Anolis sagrei: one gene and its partner. The protein of the gene in region 1 interacts with the protein of each later gene in a biochemical or structural test. Links are inferred from orthologs where the notes say so. Each region holds a gene or a part of one and is shown on either strand. Other genes may lie near its edges.

The links.
Region 2: the proteins of ELN (region 1) and LOX form a complex in vitro, tested with the Homo sapiens proteins (2 studies listed by BioGRID and IntAct). The link is inferred for Anolis sagrei from reciprocal best matches to the Homo sapiens genes ELN and LOX.

Annotation. Positions count from the first base shown.
Region 1 is NC_090031.1:33,491,053-33,502,038, reverse strand, and holds the start of ELN (elastin), read left to right. Parts: upstream 1-5,815; 5' UTR 5,816-6,110; coding exon 6,111-6,201; intron 6,202-10,986. UniProt on the Homo sapiens protein: Major structural protein of tissues such as aorta and nuchal ligament, which must expand rapidly and recover completely.
Region 2 is NC_090022.1:240,382,343-240,392,441, reverse strand, and holds the start of LOX (protein-lysine 6-oxidase), read right to left. Parts: upstream 4,387-10,099; 5' UTR 3,984-4,386; coding exon 3,374-3,983; intron 1-3,373. UniProt on the Homo sapiens protein: Responsible for the post-translational oxidative deamination of peptidyl lysine residues in precursors to fibrous collagen and elastin. Regulator of Ras expression. May play a role in tumor suppression. Plays a role in the aortic wall architecture.

The DNA of each region.
Region 1 (10,986 bases):
AAAGGCCATCCAGCCCAACTCCCTTCTACCAGGCAGGTAGATGCAATCAATGCCCTCCCAACTTTGGTGCCCAAAATAGGTTTTTGCATGGCCTTTGGGGTCTCTTCCAACTCTAGGACTTTATGATTCTATGAAATGGATTTTTCAGAGGCTGGGTGGCCATCTGTTGAAAGGGATCAAATTGTGCCTTTTGCATGGCAGAATAGCTTTGGGGTCTCTTCCAACTCTAGAATTCTATGAATCAATCAACCAATTAATCAATTAATTAAGCACAAGTGGGATGGCCATCTGTCAGGAGGGCTCAGAATATGCCTTTTTGCATGGTAGAATGGAGTTAGACTAGATGGCCTTTGGGGTGTCTTCTGACTCTAGGATTCAATCAACTAATCAATCAATTAATAATCAAGCACATGCTGGATAGCTGGGAGGGCTTGGGTTGTGCTTTTTTTGTATGAATGGGGTTAGACTGGATGGCCAACTCTAGGATTCTATTATTCAATCAACTAATCAATCAATTAATAGTCAAGCACAGGCTGGTTGGCCATCTGTCAGGAGGGTTCGAATTGTGTCTTTTTGTATCAATGGGGTTAGACTGAATGGTCTTTGGAGTCTCTTCTGACTCTAGGATTCTATGATTCAATCAACGAATCAATCAATTAATGATAAGCACAGGCTGGATGGTCATCTGTTGGGAGGTCTCAGATTGTCTTTTTGCATGAATGGGGTTAGGCTGGATGACCTTTGAGGTCTCTTCCAACTTTAGCATTCTACAGAAAGCTTCTGCATCCCAAATCTGAGGAAATCCCAATGGAGTGTTGACTATAGCCAACTCCAGACTGGGATCCAACTGGGATGCCCTTCTTGCAGAGGATGATGGGATGTGGCGGCCCACCATTCAATTTCTTCCTTGGGATGCCCTGCTCCTCACCTCTCTCTGTTTCCGAGGTCCAAATGAAGACCAAATCTGGCCTAGGAGACGCAGACCAGCCTTGGGAGCTGGTGCCGAGCGAAGGGAGAACAGTGCCAAAGCCCAAGCAGAGCCAAGGTCAATACCGCCTCCGGCTGCCCGCTGGCCCCAGCATGGAGGGCCCTCGGCCTGGCTTTCATCTTCGCCCCTTTCCTCGATGTTGTTGGAAAAGGAGCCGGAGGCGTCCCGTGGAGCTGCTAAACATAGCAGAGGGTGACTCACGGAGCAGGAACTCGGAGCTTTTGCACAAGGAGGACAAGGAGGCATGTCCTTGGCGGGTGTCCACCTTCTTGTCCGAACCAAAAACACACCCGTGACTCCTTTTGCGTCCCATGTTTTCCTCTGTCCTGGTTATTTTCTTCTTCTCCCGCCTTGTTCCCTCAGCCTCAGCTCGCTTCAATTGCTGCAAACAGGTCTCATCAACAATGGCATAGAAGGCGGTGAGAAATGGCAATATATAAATGGTCAATGTGGGCTCATATCATGTATTATATGGTCAGTGTAGACTCATATAAGGCATTATATGAGCAGTGTAGACTCATGTCAGGTGTATGATCAGTGAAGACCTGTGTAAGGTATTATACAGTCAGTGTAGATTCGTGTAAAGTATTATATGGTCAGTGTAGACCCGTCCAAGGCATTATAGAGTTAATGTAGACTCGTGTAAGACATCATACAGTCAGTGTAGACTCGTGTAAGGCATTATATCATCAGTGTAGATTTGTGTAAAGCATTATATGGTTAATGGAGACTCATGTAAGTCATTATACAGTTAGTGTAGACTTGTGTAAGACATCATATGGTCAGTGTGGACTCGTGTAAGGAATTATACGGTCAGTGTAGACTTGTGTAAGGAATTATATGGTCAGTGTAGACTCGTGTAAGGCATTATACGGTCAGTGTAGACTCGCGTAAGGCATTATATGGTCAGTGTAGACTCCTGTAAGGCATTATATGCTCAGTGTAGACTCATGTAAGGCATTATAAAGTCAGTGTAGACTCATGTAAAGCATCATACAATCAGTGTAGTCTCGCATAAGGCATTATAAGGTCAGCGTAGACTCATGTAAGGCATTATACGGTCAGTGTAGACTCGTGTAAGGAATTACAGGGTCAGTGTAAATACTGTAAGGCATTATAAGGTCAGCGTAGACTCCTGTAAGGCATTATACAGTCAATGTAGACTTGTGTAAGGCATTATACGGTCAGTGTAGACTCCTGTAAGGCATTATACAGTCAGTGTGGACTCGTGTAAGGAATTATACGGTCAGTGTAGACTTGTGTAAGGCATTATAAGGTCAGCGTAGACTCGTGTAAGGCATTATACAGTCAATGTAGACTCGTGTAAGGCATTATACGGTCAGTGTAGACTAGTGTAAGGAATTATATGGTCAGTGTAGACTCCTGTAAGACATTATACGGTCAGTGTAGACTCATGCAAGGCATTATAAAGTCAGCGTAGACTTGTGTAAAGCATCATACAATCAGTATAGACTCGCGTAAGGCATTATAAGGTCAATGTAAACTCGTGTAAGGCATTATACGGTTAGTGTGAACATGTGTAAGGCATTACACGGTCAGTGTACTCGTTTAAGGCATTATACAGTCAGTATATGGCATTGTGTGGTAAATATAGACTCATATAATGCATGGCATTGTCAGTGTAGACACATATAAAGCACTTTATAGGGTCAGAGTAAGGCATTAGATGATCAGTATACTCATAAGGCATTGAATTGTCAACATAGATGCATATAAGAAATGGTATGGTCAGTATAAAGTCTCATAAGGCATTGTGTGGTCAGCGTAGAGGCATATAAGACATTGTATGATCAGTAGACTCATAAGGCATTGAATGGTCAATATAGATACATGTGGAGTCATATAAGGCGTTGTATGGTCAGTATGGAGTCATGTTGTTGCTGTTCTAGGTAGGGCATTATATGATCAGTAGGCTCATAAGGGATTGCATAGTAAATATAGATGCATATAAGGTACTGTATGATCAGTGTGGGGTCATATAAGGTGTTGTATGGTCAGTGTAACCTCATATAAAGCATTGTATGACCTTACACCTTTTGGAAAAAGGTGGCAAGGGGTGTCTCAGACCAGACAAGAAGACTTTTCTCTCAGTGCAACTTGTGTGTTCTCCTCGCACGAGTCGCCCGCCTCACCATGTTTTGCAATCCAGTACCAAGGCAGCTGGATGAAGGGAGAAAGAGAACAGAAGAAAGGGAGGAGAAGGCATTTTTGCAAAGGAAAACAGAGCGGTTCCTTCAGAAGTGGAGCCTGCATCCTCCCAGACAGACAGATGGCCATCTGGAGCCGTCCGGAGCCAAGTGGAAACGCGAGAGAGAGAGAGAGAGAGAGAAGAAAGAAAGAAAGAGCAAAAGAAAGAAAGAGAGAAAGATATACACACACTCAAATGCACACCCTTGAAATTGGGAAACATAGCGCTGTCTGCGGTCGCTGACCTAGGGAAGCCTGCCAGGCTGACTTTGCAGCTGGACCCAAAACATCTGGATGTCCTTTGGGAGTTGTAGTCCAACCTACCTTCCCCTCCCCCTCCCCCTCCCAAAGATATAGATCTTAGTACACAGAGGCATTTGCTTAGGACCCTTCCCAGTTGGCTCTGGCAAAAGCAAATGGCTGCATCCTCATCTACCTTGCCTGGTCTTCGCGATGAATAACATGTGCCATCTTGACTGTACTTTGCATGGCCAGGCCCTTCCCTGTTTCCATTTGCGGAACATCGCAGGGCCCAGGAATGTGTCGGCAAAACCTCCTGCCAAAGCAAACCCATCCATCCCAGATGAGCGACAAGAGATTGTTGCCGTTGCGGGGGATCGGATGTTCCTTTTGTCTGCCTGTGTCTTGTGTTGTGTCAGCCACGTCCGGTGCCCTCCCTTGCCCTTTTTGGGGCTCCAGGTGTGGGATATCGGAGCACAAAACAGCTTGAGCCATGTCTGGCCCTCAGCCCCGTTGGCTCCGAATCTCCGGCTCAGCTGTTTGGAAGCAAAGGAAGAATGCTTTTGGAGATAGGCTATCTCCAGACGTTCTGTCCCCCCCCCCCCCCAATTGTCTGGGCCCCCTTGTTTTCCAAGTGTGGTGGAGCCCCTTTCTCTGGGGGTCTTTAAGCAGAGGGGGATGGCCACCTGTCAGGGAGGGCTTGGGTGGTGTCTTCCTGCTTGGTGTCCTCCTTGTGGTCCCTTCCGATTGAAGGATTTGAAGATATATCTACCATTTCTCTCCCTCTTCAAACATATCTAATCAGCTCCTTCTGTAAAGTGGGTCATGGGGGTTCTGTATGCCAAATTTGGTCTTGATCCGTCATTGGTGTGGGTCTCAGTGGACTCAGGAAGTGAGTGAAAGTCCTTCAAGTCCCATCATCTATGGTCCATCCTCTTCCAAACTGCACTAGGATGTAGAATGGGCGATGGGGGCTCTGTGTGCCAAGTTTGGTCTTGATCCTTCATTGGTGTGGGTCTCAGAGGTCTCAGGAAGTGAGGGAAGGTACTGCAAGTCCCATCATCCATGGTCCATCCTCTTCCAAACTGCACCAGGATGGGCGATGGGGGCTCTGTGTGCTATGTTTGGTCCTGATCTGTCATTGGTGGGGGTCACAGTGGTCTCAGGAAGTGAGTGAAGGTACTGCAAGTCCCATCATCCGTGGTCCATCCTCCCCTAAACCACACCAGGCTGTAAAGTGGGTCATGTGGGGTCTGTGTACCAAGTTTGGTCCTGTTCCATCATTGGTGGGGTCACAGTGGTCTGTGGGAGCTGAAGTGATTGAAAGTACTGCAAATCCCACCATCTGTCAGCCATCCTCCCCCAAACTACACCAGGATGTAAAATGGGTCATGGGGGTTATGTGTACCAAGTTTGGTCCAGGTTCGTCTTTCATGGGGGTCACAGTGTCCTGTGGAAGTGGGAGCCAATCAGAAAGCTGCCACATACACACATACCTATACATCCACATACATACGTTCTAGACTTTTATTATTCTAGAACCCACGGTGGCAAAATGGGTTAAACCCTCATGTCGGCAGGACTGCTGACAGACAGGTCAGTGGTTTGAATCTGGCGAGCGTGGGTGAGCTCCCATCTGTCAGCTCCAGCTTCTTATGTGGGGATATGTGAGAAGCCTCCCACAGGATGGTAAAACACCAAAAACATCTAGGCGTCCCCTGGGCAACATCCTTGCAGACGGCCAATTATCTCAAGTTTCTCAAGCTGCTTTTGACACACACAAAAATATCTCCTTCTCTCAATCATATATATCATATCTATGACCATTATCTTTGTCTGGATGGCCATCTGTCAAGAGGGCTTAGGTGGTGTCCTCCTGCTTGGTAGGAGGAAGTTGGACTAGATGGCTTTTGGGGTCTCTTCCAACTCTTTGATGTTCTGGTTCCATGATTCACTTGAGCTGTCCGCACCATCAAAGAACCAAAAGTCACTCCGGAGTTCCCGTGAAACGTAGTCCTTCCTTCTGACTTTGCTTCGCTTTGAAGAAAGTTGGGTTGTGGGCAAACAAGGGCCCTGTCTAACTGACCATTTAACACAGTTTCAAACCACTATGGAAGTAAGCACAGGTGATTGCCTTGGAAATCCTGGAACCAGTTGGACGCCCGGATGGTGCTGATGTGAACCGCAGAGCGCTGATGCGCATGAAGAGAGTTTGGAGTTAGCTTGGGCCCAGAGACAGATCCACTGCAGGATTTGGGAGTGAGTCTGCCTTCTTTTCGCCGGTGTAGACACATCCTTTATGGAGTTGGGTCAGGGCTGCCGTCCCAAGCTAGAGGGAGCTCCAAACACCTCCTTTTCCTACAAACTCTTGTCTTTTCTTGGCAGCTGTGCTCGCTTTTGGCAAGAGACTGGGCCCAGACGACCGAGAGGGAGAGATTTTTCGAAACAAGGGAAGCCAGCCCAAAAAACTCTCCTGTTTGTTTGCCCTCTCTGGATGACGTCGTGTCCCGGGCCGTTCTCCTCCTTCTCCCTCCCTCCTTCTCTCTAGACCCCCTCTTTTTTCAGCCCACCCACCCCCTGAAAAAAAAGTCTCTGGAAGCCGCAAATTGAGCTGCGGCACCGCTGGGATAAAACCGCTCGGGCCGCCAGCAGACTGGGGCATTGCTGGGGAGAGATGGCTAAGCCGTGGACTTCTTCCCTCCTTTCTGGAGCAGCCGGCCTCCTCCTTCTCCTCCTCTCCAGCCTCCCGGCTTCGTGGCAAGGAGGTAAGCAAAGGGAGAGCCCACTCCAGGCTCAGGCTACCTGGTTTGGGGGGTTAGCATGCATCCCCTCCATGTAGAAGGAAGGCCAGCCCTTGGATAGGCTACTGGTGGACCTCCTTGCCTCCTTTCCATCCTCTCCTTCTGTGAGGACCTTTCAACTTTCTGCTCATCTCTTCCTGCAGCATTGGACCTCCTTGTCTTCTTTCCATCTTCTTCTCTGGGCATCTTTTAACTTTCTGGTCTTCTTTTCATGCGGATGGTGGACATCCTTGTCTCCTTTCCATCTTCTTCTCTGGGCATCTTCTAACTTTCTGGTTCTTTTAATATGAATGGTGGACATCCTTGTCTCCTTTCCATCTTCTTCTCTGGGCATCTTCTAACTTTCTGGTTCTTTTAATATGAATGGTGGACATCCTTGTCTCCTTTCCATCTTCTTCTCTGGGCATCTTCTAACTTTCTGGTTCTTTTAATATGAATGGTGGACATCCTTGTCTCCTTTCCATCTTCTCTGGGCATCTTCTAACTTTCTGCTCATCTCTTTCTGCATATGGTCAACCTCCTTGTCTCCTTTTCTTCTCCTTCTGTCGGGATCTTCCAATTTTCTGGTCTTCTCTTAATGCAAATGATGGACCTCGTCTCCTTTCCATCTTCCTCTTCTCTGGGCATCTTTTAACTTTCTGGACTTCTCTTAATGCAAATAGTGCTCCTTGCCTCCATTCCATCTTCTCCTTCTCTGGGCATCTTTCAACTTTCTAGTCTTCTCCTTTCCATCCTCTCATTCTCTGAGGCTCTTCCAATTTTCTGCTCATCCCTTCCTGTGGCATTGGACCTCCTTGCATTCTCTCCATCTTCTCCTTCTCTGGGCGTCTTCTAAATTTCTGGTCTTCTCTTCCTGTGGATGGTAGACCTCCTTGTCTCCTCTCTATCTTCCTCTTCTCTGGGTATCTTCTAATTTTCTGGTCTTTTCTTAATGCAAATGGTGTTCCTTGCCTCCATTCCATCTTCTCCTTCTCTGGGCATCTTTCAACTTTCCAGTCTTCTCTTCTTGTGGATGGTGGACCATCTCTGCATCTTCTCCTTCTCTGAAGCTCTTCCAGCTTTCTGCTCATCTCACCCTACAGCAGTGGGCCTCCTTGCCTCTTTTCCACCTTCTCCTTCTCTTGGCATCTTCTAACTTTCTGGTCTTTTCTTAATGTAGACCTCTGTGTCTCCTTTCACTTCATCCTCTTGACATATTCTGACTTTCTGGTCTTTTACTGCAGATGGTGGTCCTTTTTTCCTCCTTGCCATCCTCTCCTTCTCTGATCTTTCCATCTTTGCTGGGGATCTTCCAACTTTTGGCTGATCTCGTCCTGCAGTGTTGGACTATCTTGTCTCCTTTCCATCTTCTTCTTCTCTGGGCATCTTGAACTTCCCTGTCTTCCCTTACTATGGATGGTGGACCTTGTTGTCTCCTTTCCATCTTTTCTGGGGAACTTCTTCCAATGTTCCAGTCTTGTCTTCTCCGATTTCCAATTTTTTTTTCTTCCCTCCTCCCCCTTTGCATCCCTCCTCTCACTTTCACTGAAAGGAACAAAACTTCCCAACTCTTTGCTCCAGCCTTCTGATGGAAGAGGGTCTGCAAAACCAGCTGGATAGGGAAATGGTGATGCCACCATTATATTCCTCACTTTAAAAAATCAGAACTAAATAGGGTAGGAAGAGTGGCAATATGAGCTGGGTTTGAGAGATGGTTTCCAAATTGCAAATCTTGGTCATGGGGATGGATCAGAGAGTGCCTCTGAGCATGTACAAGTGTTCTGAGTAAGCCTGGATGGTGGTTAGAACATGGGACAATCAAGCCCGAGAGTTTGTATCGAAAAGGAGTAGTTACCAGAAAAGTGTGTGTTTTTGTTCTAATTTGCACACAAGTTGGTTAGTAAGAGCCACCTGTGTTCTGATCTGACATCCTTTTCTAGGTTACTTTGGTTGCAAAGGAGAATGGAAACAGGAGATGGGTCCCACTTGTTGGACACTTTGGGATCCCTTTCTAACTTGCAAAGGATCCAAGAAATGGGACCAATAGTCTCTCAGATCTGTCCAATGCCCAGTGGGTTCTCTTGTTCCTTCTTTAAGAACTTCTCGTCCGGTCAAACTTTGCACGTCCGTCTGCGACTTCTATATTTTTTTGGACCAAGTTGTCCGAACCCCTTGGGTTTCGGCTGGCAATCACAATTCATTCGCAGTGAAGCAATTTCAAACTGACATGATGTATTCTTCCCATGCTCTGCTTCGGCGAGACAACTGGGTTGGGTTGGGATAAGTCTTGGAAGAGAAATGTGGCTAATTTTGCAGTGGATGAGTTGTCTCAGAGGGATGAGAAAGGCTTGGGAGATCTTTCTGAGGAAGGCTTGGCTTTGTGACTCAAGCGAGCTAAAGGTGCTTGATAAGTATAGGTTTGTGAAATATTTCACTGGTGATGCAGTCTGTTTGGAGAATCCTGGGATCACGGGAGGACCCCAAAGGCCATCTTGACTGACCAACAATGCATCCAAGGAAGACCCTAAAAATCTCGAGACCCCAGAATCATCACATTGGCCTTTTGCACTGCTGCATCACACTGTTGGCTCAGGTTCAGCTAATAATAATAATAATAATAGTAATAATAATAATAATAATAATAATAATACTTTTGTTTCTTACCTGCCTCTCCTTGTGTCTCTTTATGAAGACACCTAGATGCCTTTTGCATGGACTCCTTTCAAACCCATTCTATTACAGCTGTGCATTTCATGGTTACTGCCAGAGTGTAGTACTATACATTTTTCCCTCTTGCAATGCATTCTGTTAGTTTTAGCTGAACAGCTCTCTGATCGTTAAGGTCCTTTTGGATCCTTATCCTGTCTTTTTGGGATCTTAGCTCTTATTCCCAATTTGGTCCCATCTGCAAATCTGATCAGCATGCTTTCAATTCAGATTATACATAAAGCTGACAGTTCCCAGCATCAGAGGGAGAAAGGGAGTGTATATTTTGCTTCCAGTTGTTGTTATTGTAGTTATTACATTGTAATTACATTATCATTACATTGTTTTTTTTCATTATTATATTAAAATATAATAATAATATATGTTGGAGAGTAGTCCCTGTTCAAGTGGTCCTTGGTCAAGTGGTTCCTGGTCAAAGTGGTCCCTGTTCAAATGGTCCTTGATCAAGTGGTCCCTGTTCAAATGGTGCTTGGTAAAGTGGTCCCTGGTCAAAATGGTCCTTGATCAAGTGGTCCCTGTTCAAAGTGGTCCTTGATCAAGTGGTCCCTGTTCAAGTGGTGCTTGGTAAAGTGGTCCCTGGTCAAAGTGGTCTTTGATCAAGTGATCCCTGGTCAAGTGGTCCTTGGTCAAAGTGGTCCCTGATCAAGTAGTCCCTGTTCAAGTGGTCCTTGATCAAATAGTCCCTGGTCAAAGTAGTCCCTATTCAAATGGTCCTTGGTCAAGTGGTCCCTATTCAAGTGATGCTTGGTAAAGTGGTCCCTGGTCAAAATGGTCCTTGATCAAATGGTCCCTGGTCAAAGTGGTCCTTGCTCAAGTGGTCCTTGGTCAAAGTGGTCCTGGTTCAAGTGGTATCTGGTCAAAGTGGTCCCTGGTCAAAAAAAGGTTAGGAACCACTGAATTAGTCAAAAAAGGAGCAAGATTTGGAATCTTTTTCCAAATTGTTCCCTGAAGTCCAGCTTAGGAGCTGATGGAGGTGTGAGCATCCCTCAAAGACTACAAATCCCACCTGCTCTAGCATTCATAAAAATGCTGGGATGTGTAGTTATTTGGCTGCAAAAAGATTGAGATCTACCTTGATGCAATTGTTTATCAAATTCTGCTGATACTCTTTATATGAAAAGTCCTTTCTTTTGGAAAGTTTGTCCTTTTGACATGGAACAAGATGCCAGAAGAAGAAAAAAATCCCCAATTTTGGAAGCGTTGGGCCCTCCACGAAGGCAGAAATATGTGCATCATGGAATTTATGAAACTGGAAAATATGTTGTTCTTTTTTTAAAACAGAGAAACACATGTTGAAAAGAACTGGAATCTAGGCGTCCGTTCCCGCTGAGTTGTGAAATAGCTACTTGTCATCCTTGCGTGTCGCAAATTTTGACTGTCCCCCTTTTTGGGGGGATAAATTGGTGACACATTCTATAATTTATAGCAACCAATGGCTTTCCAACACATTTAATGGATTGCTTTTTAATTTTTAATTGGGCTGATCAAATTTAAAAATTCCCATTAGAGCAGTAAAGGAAACGCCACACAGTATTGGTAGTGTAAGAATATCTAGCTACTCCAAATGGATTCAAGTCATCAGGACCTAATAAATTACCTTAACGGCAATTACAAGAACAGGAAAGAGTTGTTTTCTATAAGAATCAATGGGATCTAACCATGTATTTGTTGGTGTTTGTTTTATTTATATTATTCTTCCAATATAGGAACCCATTGACAATCCATTATTGGTTGTTGTGGCAATACTCAGAATCAGCCTATGGGCTGTCCTTGTTTGAGCATTGGTAATACATCAAAGGTGTCTATGGGTTGTTGTCTGAGCCTTAGGATTCATTGGCTATATATTAAAGTAGCTTATGGATCATCATGGTTTCAGCATAGGCAATACATTCAATAAGGATATGGGTTGTCATAGTTTGAGCCTAAAGATCCATAGGGAATGGCTATTTATCTATCTATACACTGGCATAGGACCCCCGGTGGTACAGTGGGTTAAACCGCTGAACTGCTGAACTTGCTGTCCAAAAGGTTGGCGGTTCGAAT
Region 2 (10,099 bases), on another chromosome or scaffold:
AAGCAGCTAAAACTTCAGGGAGTTGAACTCCAAAACATTGAAGGACCAAGTTCAATTCTTCCTAATACAGGAAGTCCTCATGTTACAAACAAGATAGCTATACGCTTTATAGTGCCATTTTCTACAGTGTTTGATAGGAGTTGCCAGGTCCTGCTCGCTCAGGCTCATAGTCTAACCCCCTGAAAGGTACAGAGTTAAGCAGCCACACTCTCTCATAGAGTAAGACACACTCATTGTCCAGGTGGAGGCCACAAGGGGATCTTGACAGAGAGGACAGTCCCTTTTACAGGGGGTGGGGGAGAATTTAAAACCCTACACCTATGTTGCTGTCATCGAAACTATCATTGTTTATGACATGGGAAAGGGAGGGGCAGAAATAACCAGCTAAAATAGGGGAAATGATTTTCTTCCTTCAACTCCCCCTTCCCTCCAATAAAATGAACTATACTTCTCTCTATAGGTCTTCTTATGGAGTCCACCTAGATAATGGAACAGTATTACTTGCCATATGTAAGCCACCTTGAGTCCTTTTCAGAGTAAAGAAAGGTGGGTATTAATAGGGTAAATAAATAAATAATAGATGGTCTTTGTTTTGCTGTCTGTGCTTTGTTCAGAAGATATCACCTCACTTTCTGTATCTATAAGAATTGGATTTTGCAAAATGAGGCTTGTGGAAACAAGGCTTGGTGATACAGCTTCAGTGGAGACACCTTTTCCCCATGATAACTCCTCTCCAGGAGTGAATTTCCCTTCCCAGGGGTAGATTTCTCTCACTTCCTGTTGTCTCACCCTTGTTCTGAACTAGGAGTTGTTTGTCACTTAGGGACTGCCTGTACTTTGAACTTCAGCTCCCAAGATCCCTGATCATTAGCCAAGACTAGGGCCAATACTCCTGTAAGCTGAAATCCAAAACACCTGAAAGGACAATGGATTGTTGTGAGCTAGCTGATGTTTCATCCAAATCTATGGCAGCCATCCTCAGAGATTGTGAGGTGTGTTGGAAACAAGGCAAGTGGGGTTTATATATCTGTGGCGCGTCTAGGATGCCTACCACAGATGTGAGTGAAATGTCAGGAGAGAATGCTTCTGGAGCATGGCCATACAGCCCAGAAAACTCACAGCAACCCGGTGATTCCGGCCATGAAAGCCTTCGACAACACACTTGAAAGGACAGGCTGCCTCCTACAGAATCCTGGGGTTTGTAGGCTAGTGAGGACCAGGACTTCTCTGGCACAGAATGTTGAAGCTGCAGAATGCAGCCATAGGATTTAAAGTGGATGAAGACATTCTATGAGGCATGGGCAAGCATGGGCCCTCCAGGTGTCAACTTCAACTCCAACCATTCCTAACATCCTCAGGCCTTTTCCTTTTCCCTTAAGCAGCAGAGGGGGGGGAAGGAAAGGGCCTGAGGGTGTTAGAATGGTGGGAGTTGAAGTCCAAAACACCTGCAAGTCCCAAGTTGGCCCATGACTTTGTGTGATGGGTGAACCTTTCTGTGGCTTGCCTCTGCGCATAGGTCAGTGTTTCTAAACCTAGGGGTCGGGACCCCTGGGGGGTTGCGAGGGGGCATCAGTGGAGTTGCCAAAGACCATCAGAAAACACAATATTTTTGGTTGATCAGGGAGGTTCTGTGTGGATGGGGTTCTGTCGTTAGTGGGGTTCTGAATGCTCATTGATTGTAGGTGAGCTATAAATCCCAGCAACTACAACTCCCTAAATGTCAAGCTCTATTTTCCCCAAACTCCACCAGTGTACACATTTGGGCATATTGAGTATTTGTGCCAAGTCTACTCCAAATCTATAATTGTTTGAGTCCACAGTGCTGTCTGGATGTAGGTGAACTACAACTCCAAAACTCAAGGTCAATGCCCACCAAATCCTACCAGTGTTTTCTGTTGGTCATGGGAGTCCTGTGTGCCAAATTTGGTTCAATTCCATTGTTTGAGTTCAGAAATGCTCTTTGATTGTAAGTTAACTATACATTCCAGCAACTACAACTCCCAAATAACAAAATTAATCCTTCCCCCAACCCCACCAGTATTCAAATTTGGGCGTATTGGGGTTTTGTGCCAAATTTGGTCCAGTGAATGAAAATACATCTTGCATATCAGATATTTAAAATATGAAACTCCCTTCCTAGTAATATTAGATCGGCCCCCTCCCTCCTGTCCTTCAGAAGGATGGTGAAGACCTGGCTGTGGGACCAAGCCTTTGAGGAAGTGCAATGAGGCAAAATGGTGTCCTGAGATGGTCTGTAAACAACTTTTAATGTTAATATACATTATTTTAAGGTTTGTATATACTTATGGTTTTATGTCCCGGCATTGAAAGTTTGCCGTGTGTGTGTATGCAGGCCCGTAGCCAGGATTTCGATTTGGGGGGGGGGGGGCTGAGTCTGAGTGAAAGAGGGTCTACCCTAGCAAACCTTTTGTATTGTTACCCCAATACCCCCATGCATACGGGATATATTGTGTAAGGTGATCAGATTAAGATATGAATACACATAACAGTTTAAATAATGCACCAGTAAGGCCTTTTCGCGAACCACCATGAGAATTTCGGGGGGGGGGCTGAAGCCCCTCAAGCCCCCCCCCCGCTACATGCCTGTATGTGTGTGCGTGTGTGTTTATGTGCATGTGTATATGTGTGTGTGTGTGTGTATATATACACACACACCTCTCGTAGGTGTGTATATGTGTGTGTGTGTGTGTGTGTGTGTATGTGTATGTATATATATATATATATATATATATATATATATATATATGTTGTGCTCCCTCCTGAGTCCCCTGCGGGATGAGAAGGGCAGAATATAAATGTTTTAAATAAATAAATAATTCATAACACTAGCAAAAAAAATGAGCCCCCAGTGGCACAGTGGGTTAAAAGCACTGAGCTACTTGACTTGCTGATTGAAAGGTCACAGATTCAAATCCAGGGAGCAGTGTGAGCTCCCGCTATTAGCCCCAGCTCCTGCCAACTCAGCAGTTCAAAAGCATTCAAATGTGAGTAGATCAATAGGTACCACTCTGGCGGGAACATAACTGCACTCCATGCAGTCATGCCGGCCACATGATCTTGGAGGTGTCTATGGACAACGCCTGCTCTTTGGCTCAGAAATGGAGATAAGCACCAAACCCCAGAGTCAGACACGACTGGACTTAATGTCAGGGGAAAACCTTTACCTTAACCTTTACTTTAGCAGCAGCAAAATTACAATTGTGAAGTAGGGACGAAAATAAGGTGATAGTGGTTGGGGGGGGGGGTGGTCACCACAACCTGAGGAACTGTATTAAGGGGTTGGGGCATTAGGAAGGCTGGGAACCACTGACATAGGCACTTCCAAGAGAGAGACACGGATTCGCCTTCTTACCATACTGGAAGTACCCCGTGCCATAACCGGGCCGGTACCGGCTGCTCTGCCGGGGCCTCTCGTAGGTGTCGTGGTAGTTGTAATACGGGTTGTCGTCGGTGTACTTGTAAGGGTTGTAGGGGTCGTCGCCCTGCATCACGTCATCGCGGCGGCGGGGCAAGCTGTTCAGTGGAGGCGCATTGCTGCTGCTGCTGCTGGTGGTGGTGTTGTTGCCCGGCCGGGAGGAGGCGCTCTCGGGCGGCGGCGCTCTCCTCCCTCCTCCTCCTCCTCCGGCTTGGAACCAAAGGCGCGGCTCTTGCCCCTGGGCGTCGGGGGCGAGGGAGGGCGGCGAGGCGGGAGGCGCAGCCCTGCGCGGAGCCGTCCCGTTCCCCCGGAGCAGCAGGACGTGGTTGCCTTGCGGCGCCTCCGAGCTGTGCCTCCTCCGCGGAGGCTGGTACTGGGAGCCCACGCTGAGGAGGCTGTACACCTGCCCGTTGTTCTCCCACTGAATCCGCTGCTGCCACACCGCCGGGGGAGGAGGAGGAGGAGCGGGGTTCCTCGGAGGAGGCAATCCCTCCGCTTGGAGCCAGAAGAGGCCGAGCCAACAGAGAAGCCGGGAGAAGAGGCGCATCGTGGCTTCACGGTGTTCACAACAACACCACTCGTGCCTTTGGGAGCAGTAATAATACAAAGCGGAGCAGCCCGTCCTCTTTGATGAGCCCCTTCGACTGAGGTCTCGCTTCCTTACTAGTCTGAAAACCACCTCTCACTTTCTCTCTTCTTCCCAGATGGGTTTTCTCCGCTGAATGAAGAGCGAAAAGGAGCCCTTTCTCTCTGCTTCCCAATTGGGGTTCCTTCCTTCCCTTGAAGAGATGAGTATGGAGAGAGAAGGCGCCCTCTTTCTCTTTCTTTCTCTCTCTCTCTCTCCTTCCCAATTGTGTTTTCTTCTCTCCACTGGAGAGATGGATGTGGAAAGGAGCGAGTCTCTCTCTGTGTGCGCCTCTTTCTCTCTCTCTCTCTCTCTCTCTCTCTCTCTCTCCCTTTGGCTGCTGTCTGGGACCAAGAGACGGAGGAGGGGAGAAAGGCTGGGGAGGAGGGATTCTGCTTTATTATTTTTTCAAACTTTTCTGGCACAGTTGCAAAGTTACACAAGGCTGTTTGTTCACGTAATGGGATTCCTGACATGAGATGTCGACGGCGCCCCCATTTTTTTCCTCCTCTCACTGATAGACACAGGGTGTATCTACTCTATACTGTGGAATAAATACAGCCTGAAACCATTTCAGATAACCTAGTTGAAAGCAGATATTGTGGGATTTTCTGCTTTGATATCATGGGTTATAGGGCTGTGTGGAAGGGCCCATAAGATCTGGGCAATTTCAGCACTGGGGAGCCTTCCACATAGCCCTATATCCCAGAATATCAAGGCAGAAAATCCCACATTATCTGAGGACCTTTCCAAACAGACCCTGTATATCCCAGGATCTGATCCCAGGTTTTCTGTTTATCCCAGATTATCTGAAGGTGGGGATTTATATAATCCAGTTTAATGCAGAAAAACTGGGATCAGATCCTGGGATATAGGACCTTTCTGGAAGGGCCCCAAAGTGTGGACTCAGATAACCCAGTAGAAAGCAGATATTGTGGTATTTTCTGCCTTGATATTCTGGAATATAGGGCTATGTGGAAGGCCCCCCAGTGCTGAAATTGCCCAGATACTAAACAGCCTCTGGGGATGCCTGCCATAGATGCAGGCAAAATGTCAGGAAATAATGCTTCTGGAACATGGCCATACAACCCGAAAAATGTACAGCAACCCAGTGATTCCAGCCATGAAAGCATTTGACAAAGCAGAGTTGATGCCCCCCTCCAAACTACAAATCCCATTGTCCCACGAATACACCACAGCATTGAACCATGGCAGTTAAAGGGGGGGGGGTCAAACTGTATGCGTGTGTGTGTGTACACACACATATATTCATTCAAAGGGGTTGGATCATGTTTGCACATATTATAAGTTTTGATTTATTTTTTTAAAATGGAATAACTTAACTAAATTCTAGCCACTTCTAATATTACCCTATTACTAAAGACAATAAGACAAACAAGGACAGACCCCTATTCCATAATAATAATATTAATACTACTACTACTACTACTAATAATAATAATAATAATAGTAAATGACACAGTCCTAGATGCTTGGGAAATGTTCGACTTGTGATTTTGTGATACGAAATCCAGCATATAGATCTCGTTTGCTGTGACATATTGTGCTTTTGTGTCAGTAAAATAATAATAATAATAATAATAATAATAATAATAATAATAAGCTGCTACAAGAAGATCGCACAGACTACAAGCAGAGGCATAACGCCATTGCTCAGATGATTCATTGGAATTTGTGCCACAAATGCTATCTGCCTGTGACAAAGAACTGGTGGGATCACAAGCCAGAAAAAGTTACAGAGAATGAATACGCCAAGCTACTCTGGGACTTCCAAATTCAAACAGAGTTTTGGAGCACAATACTCCTGACCTCACAATCATGTTAAAAAACAAAGTATGGATTGTTGATGTTGCAGTCCCAGGTGACAGCAGGATTGAAGAGAAACAACTGGAAAATCTGACATAATATGAGGATTTAAAGATCAAACTCCAAAGACTCTGGCACAAGCCAGTAAAGATGGTCCCAGTGGTGATCGGCACACTGGGTGCAGTGCCTAAAGACCTTGGCCTGCACTTAAACACAATCGGCGCTGACAAGATTACCATCTAACAGCTGCAGAAGGCCACCTTACTGGAATCTGCACGCATTATTCGTTGATACATCACACAGTCCTAGACCTTTGGGAAGCCCAATTTAAGGTGCAGGTGCTTACCTACAAAGCCCTAAACGGTTTGGGACCATCCTACCTGCGTGACCGCATCTCCATGTACGAACCCACGCGTTCACTTCGTTCATCCGGAGAGGCCCTGCTCATGATTCCGCCTTTGTCACAGGCACGTTTGGTGGGGACACGAGACAGGGCCTTTTCTGTGGTGGCCCCCCAACTCTGGAACACCCTCCCCAAAGATCTTAGACAGGCCCCTACGTTGGCAGTCTTTAGAAAGAACTTGAAGACCTGGCTGTTCCGATGTGCCTTTCCAGAATAGGAAAACTCCAATAACAAGTCCCAGAAGCACTTTATTAGAATTAAGATTGCTGGCACACTGCACATACCCTATAATCCTTACATATCACCTGTCACTTCAGCACTTTTAATCTGTACCCATTACTCTGGCCCGGCCCAGTTTTATTGTGTCTTGGTGTATTGTTTATTGCTTGTTGTTTAATTTTGCTTTAACTGTTTTTAATTTTTTAATTTGCTTTAGGTTGTGTATTGTTATGTTGTGTTTTGAGGCCTTGGCCTTTGTAAGCGGCATCGAGTCCTTCGGGAGATGCTAGCGGGGTACAAATAAAGTTAATAATAATAATAATAATAATAATAATAATAATAATAATAAGTGTCTGACGTGTGATCCAATACAACAGCCAGCAGAGTGTCTGCTGTGGACTCATCTTGTTGTGTTTCAAGTAATAATAATAATAAACTTTATTTATATCCCACCACCATCTTCCCAAAGGGACTTGGGACAGCTTACTAAGGCACTCCAGGGTGCAGCATATAACATAAAATGGTACAAAAATATAAAACAATAAAACATAACATTATAACAACAACCATTACCAATGCATATAACAAAAAATAAAATTGCTCCATTTTATAATGCAGAACACCTGTAGATAAAAACTAGTTGCCAGCAATTCACAAACTAAAGTACCAGCATGTCAACCTCATTTAGGCCCATTACAGCCTACTTGAGGTTAAAGGCCTGTTTAAAAATCCTTGTTTTTAGGCTAGATCGGAAGGATTGGGGGGTGGGGGCTAACCTAATCTCTTATGGGAGGGTATTCCAGAGCTGGGGAGCCACCACCAAAAAGCCCTCTCTCAAGAGAAGGGACTCCTCTGCAGATCTCAAAGCCCGCACCGGTTGATAGAAAGAAATGCAGTCTCGAAGATAGGTTGAACCCGGAAACTAGTTGGAAGAGAGTAGAGCTGCTTTAATAGAGGTGTGGTATGCTCTCTATAACTAGCCCCAGTTAATAATCTGGCAGCCAACCTTTGCACTAGCTGCAGTTTCTGAACCATCTTCAAAGGCAGCCCCACGGAAAGTGCTTACCATAGTCCATTCTGGATTTAACTAAGGCATGGACCACCATGGCCAAGTCAGGCTTCTCGTGGTACAGTCACAGTTGGCACATAGTGTGAAGGCGCTCCCAGCCACTGCCAACAACTGAGCTTCAAGCATCAATGATGAATCCAGGAGAACCCCCAGACTCCGGACCTGTGTCCTCAGGGGGAGTGTAGCCCCGTCGAGCACAGGTTGACACCCTATACCCCGATCCACCTCACGACTGAACAAGAGGACCTCTGTCTTGTATGGATTAAGCCTCAGATTGTTGGCTCTCATCCAGTCCATCACAGCTGCCAGGCACTGGTCCAGGATATGGAGAGCTTCCTTGGAGTGAGGTGGAAAAGAGTAGTAGATTTGAGTGTCATCTGCATTATCCTATAGCATTGAGCTATGGCAGTTAAGAGGGTGTCAAACTGCATTCCTTTTAAAAAATATATTATTATGTTTATTTATACCCTGATTTATCACTCCAGAGGAAACTCGGGGCCCTTCCATACAGCCATATAACCCAGAATATCAAGGCAGAAAATCCCACAATATCTGCTTTGAACTAAGTTATCAGAGGGCCGTTCTAGACAGACCCTATATCCCAGGATCTGATTCCAGGTTTTCTGTTTATCCCAGATTATCTGGCAGTGTGGACTCTAATTCAGTTTAAAGCAGAACACCTGGGATCAGATCCTGGGATATAGGACCTGTCTGGAAGAGCCCTGAGTCCACACTGCTGTATATTCCAGTTCAAAGCAGATAATGTGGGATTTTATTCAGCCGTGTGGAAGGGGCCTCAATGTGACTTACATTAAAAGTATTACTACATAATTTAAAATATACTATTATTCAAACATTAAAAGAGAATTAAACATAACAGTATTTTAAAAAATCACAGTTAAAATCAATTAAACATATTCAAAGTTTAAACCATAGCACCCCCTGACTTGACACTCCGTAATGCTCTTTTTGGGGTGGTATCTGAGGGAAGCCAAGAGGGTCGAGGCAGAGTTGGTTTCCACACAGAAGATGGCCATAAGGGTTAACAGCAGCAGCAGGCAGGCTTCCTTCTCCTTTCCTCTTTCCTCAGACTCCTGAGGCCTTGCCAGGTGCTGAGGCGCCGCCAAAATATGCACAGAGAAAAATGCTATTAGATCATCAGCGCCGACTCAGAGAGAGACCAGAAAGCTGAGTCCAAAGAGAGGAGACGGAACATGTTTTCTGGGAAATGTGTTATTTTTTGCCCTAGACCTCTTTCTCCCATCATAGGAGCTCTGAGGGGAACCTTAGTGGTGTCTGAGGTGGGAAAGTCCAGAATAAGAGAAAGCCCAACAACTCGATGTCCACTTGTCATTATGACCTCCTTGTATAAACTCCTGCATACCAAGTTTTGTGGGCCTTTTTATTCTGGGGTGAGTCTTTGGTGGTGACTGAGGTGGAAATGCACAAAACACAAATCTCTCAACAAGGCAGCTTCACCTCAACACCACACACATTACAACAGCCACTCCACATCCGCTTGAAACGCTCCTTATTCAGTATGGTCCAAATCCACCTCAAATAAACTCCTGCATACCAAGTTTAGTTTTGTTTTTTAACACTGGGGTGAGTCACAGGAGGACTTCGTGACCGACGTGTCTCCTGGAAGAGAGACTCACTTCAAAACAGGGTTTTCCCCGAGAGGAACCCACTGTCATGTCCAAAAATGTCAGACGGGGAAATGGGAGAGGTTTTTCCTCTCCTTTTTTCTGAGGAAAATGTTAGTAATTCTATTATAAGGAATCGAGACAATCTGCTGAATCCCAACAGAGATCCTGCAGCCAAAGGTTCAACCATTCATATCTTAAAAGAAAATCTTGGATTTGATGTCAAAGGCTTTCATGGCCCGAATCACTGGGTTCCTGTGAGCTTTCCGGGCTATATGGCCATACAGCCCAAAAAACTCACAGTAACCCAGTGATTTCAGCTATATGGAGTTTGTGCGCTTTTGCATTGGATCAGTAATGGGCAACTGTTGGCCATTGGGGGAATGCCCTGGAGGTCCAGACCTCCAAATCTCCCATGACTCCCAGTATATCATAGGGACAGGAGTAATATTGCTAGCCTTTTTGGTCCTTCTGGGGCCATTTTAAACCCAGGACAGGCCCAGCCAACTTCTGGATCAGTCCCTGGTGTATGTGTGTGTGGGGGCGGGGTGGGGGGGGGGGGTGGGGGTAAAATGTTCAATACAAAGCAAAATGTGGCAGAATTGTCCCTCATTATTTAGCACAGGCATGGGCAAACTTCAGCCCTCCGGGTGTTTTGGACTTCAACTCCCATAATTCCTAACAGCCAGCAGGCTGTTGGGAATGGTGGGAGTTGAAGTCCAAAACACCTGGAGGGCTGAAGTTTGTCCATGCCTGTTTTAACAGTAGTTCAATGACATTGGCGTGCCAAAAAGGCTTTTGGCCTAAAGTACTATGTGTTTCCCATCTACATTAGATCCTTAAGGATCTTGTAAGAACTGTATACTCAAAATAC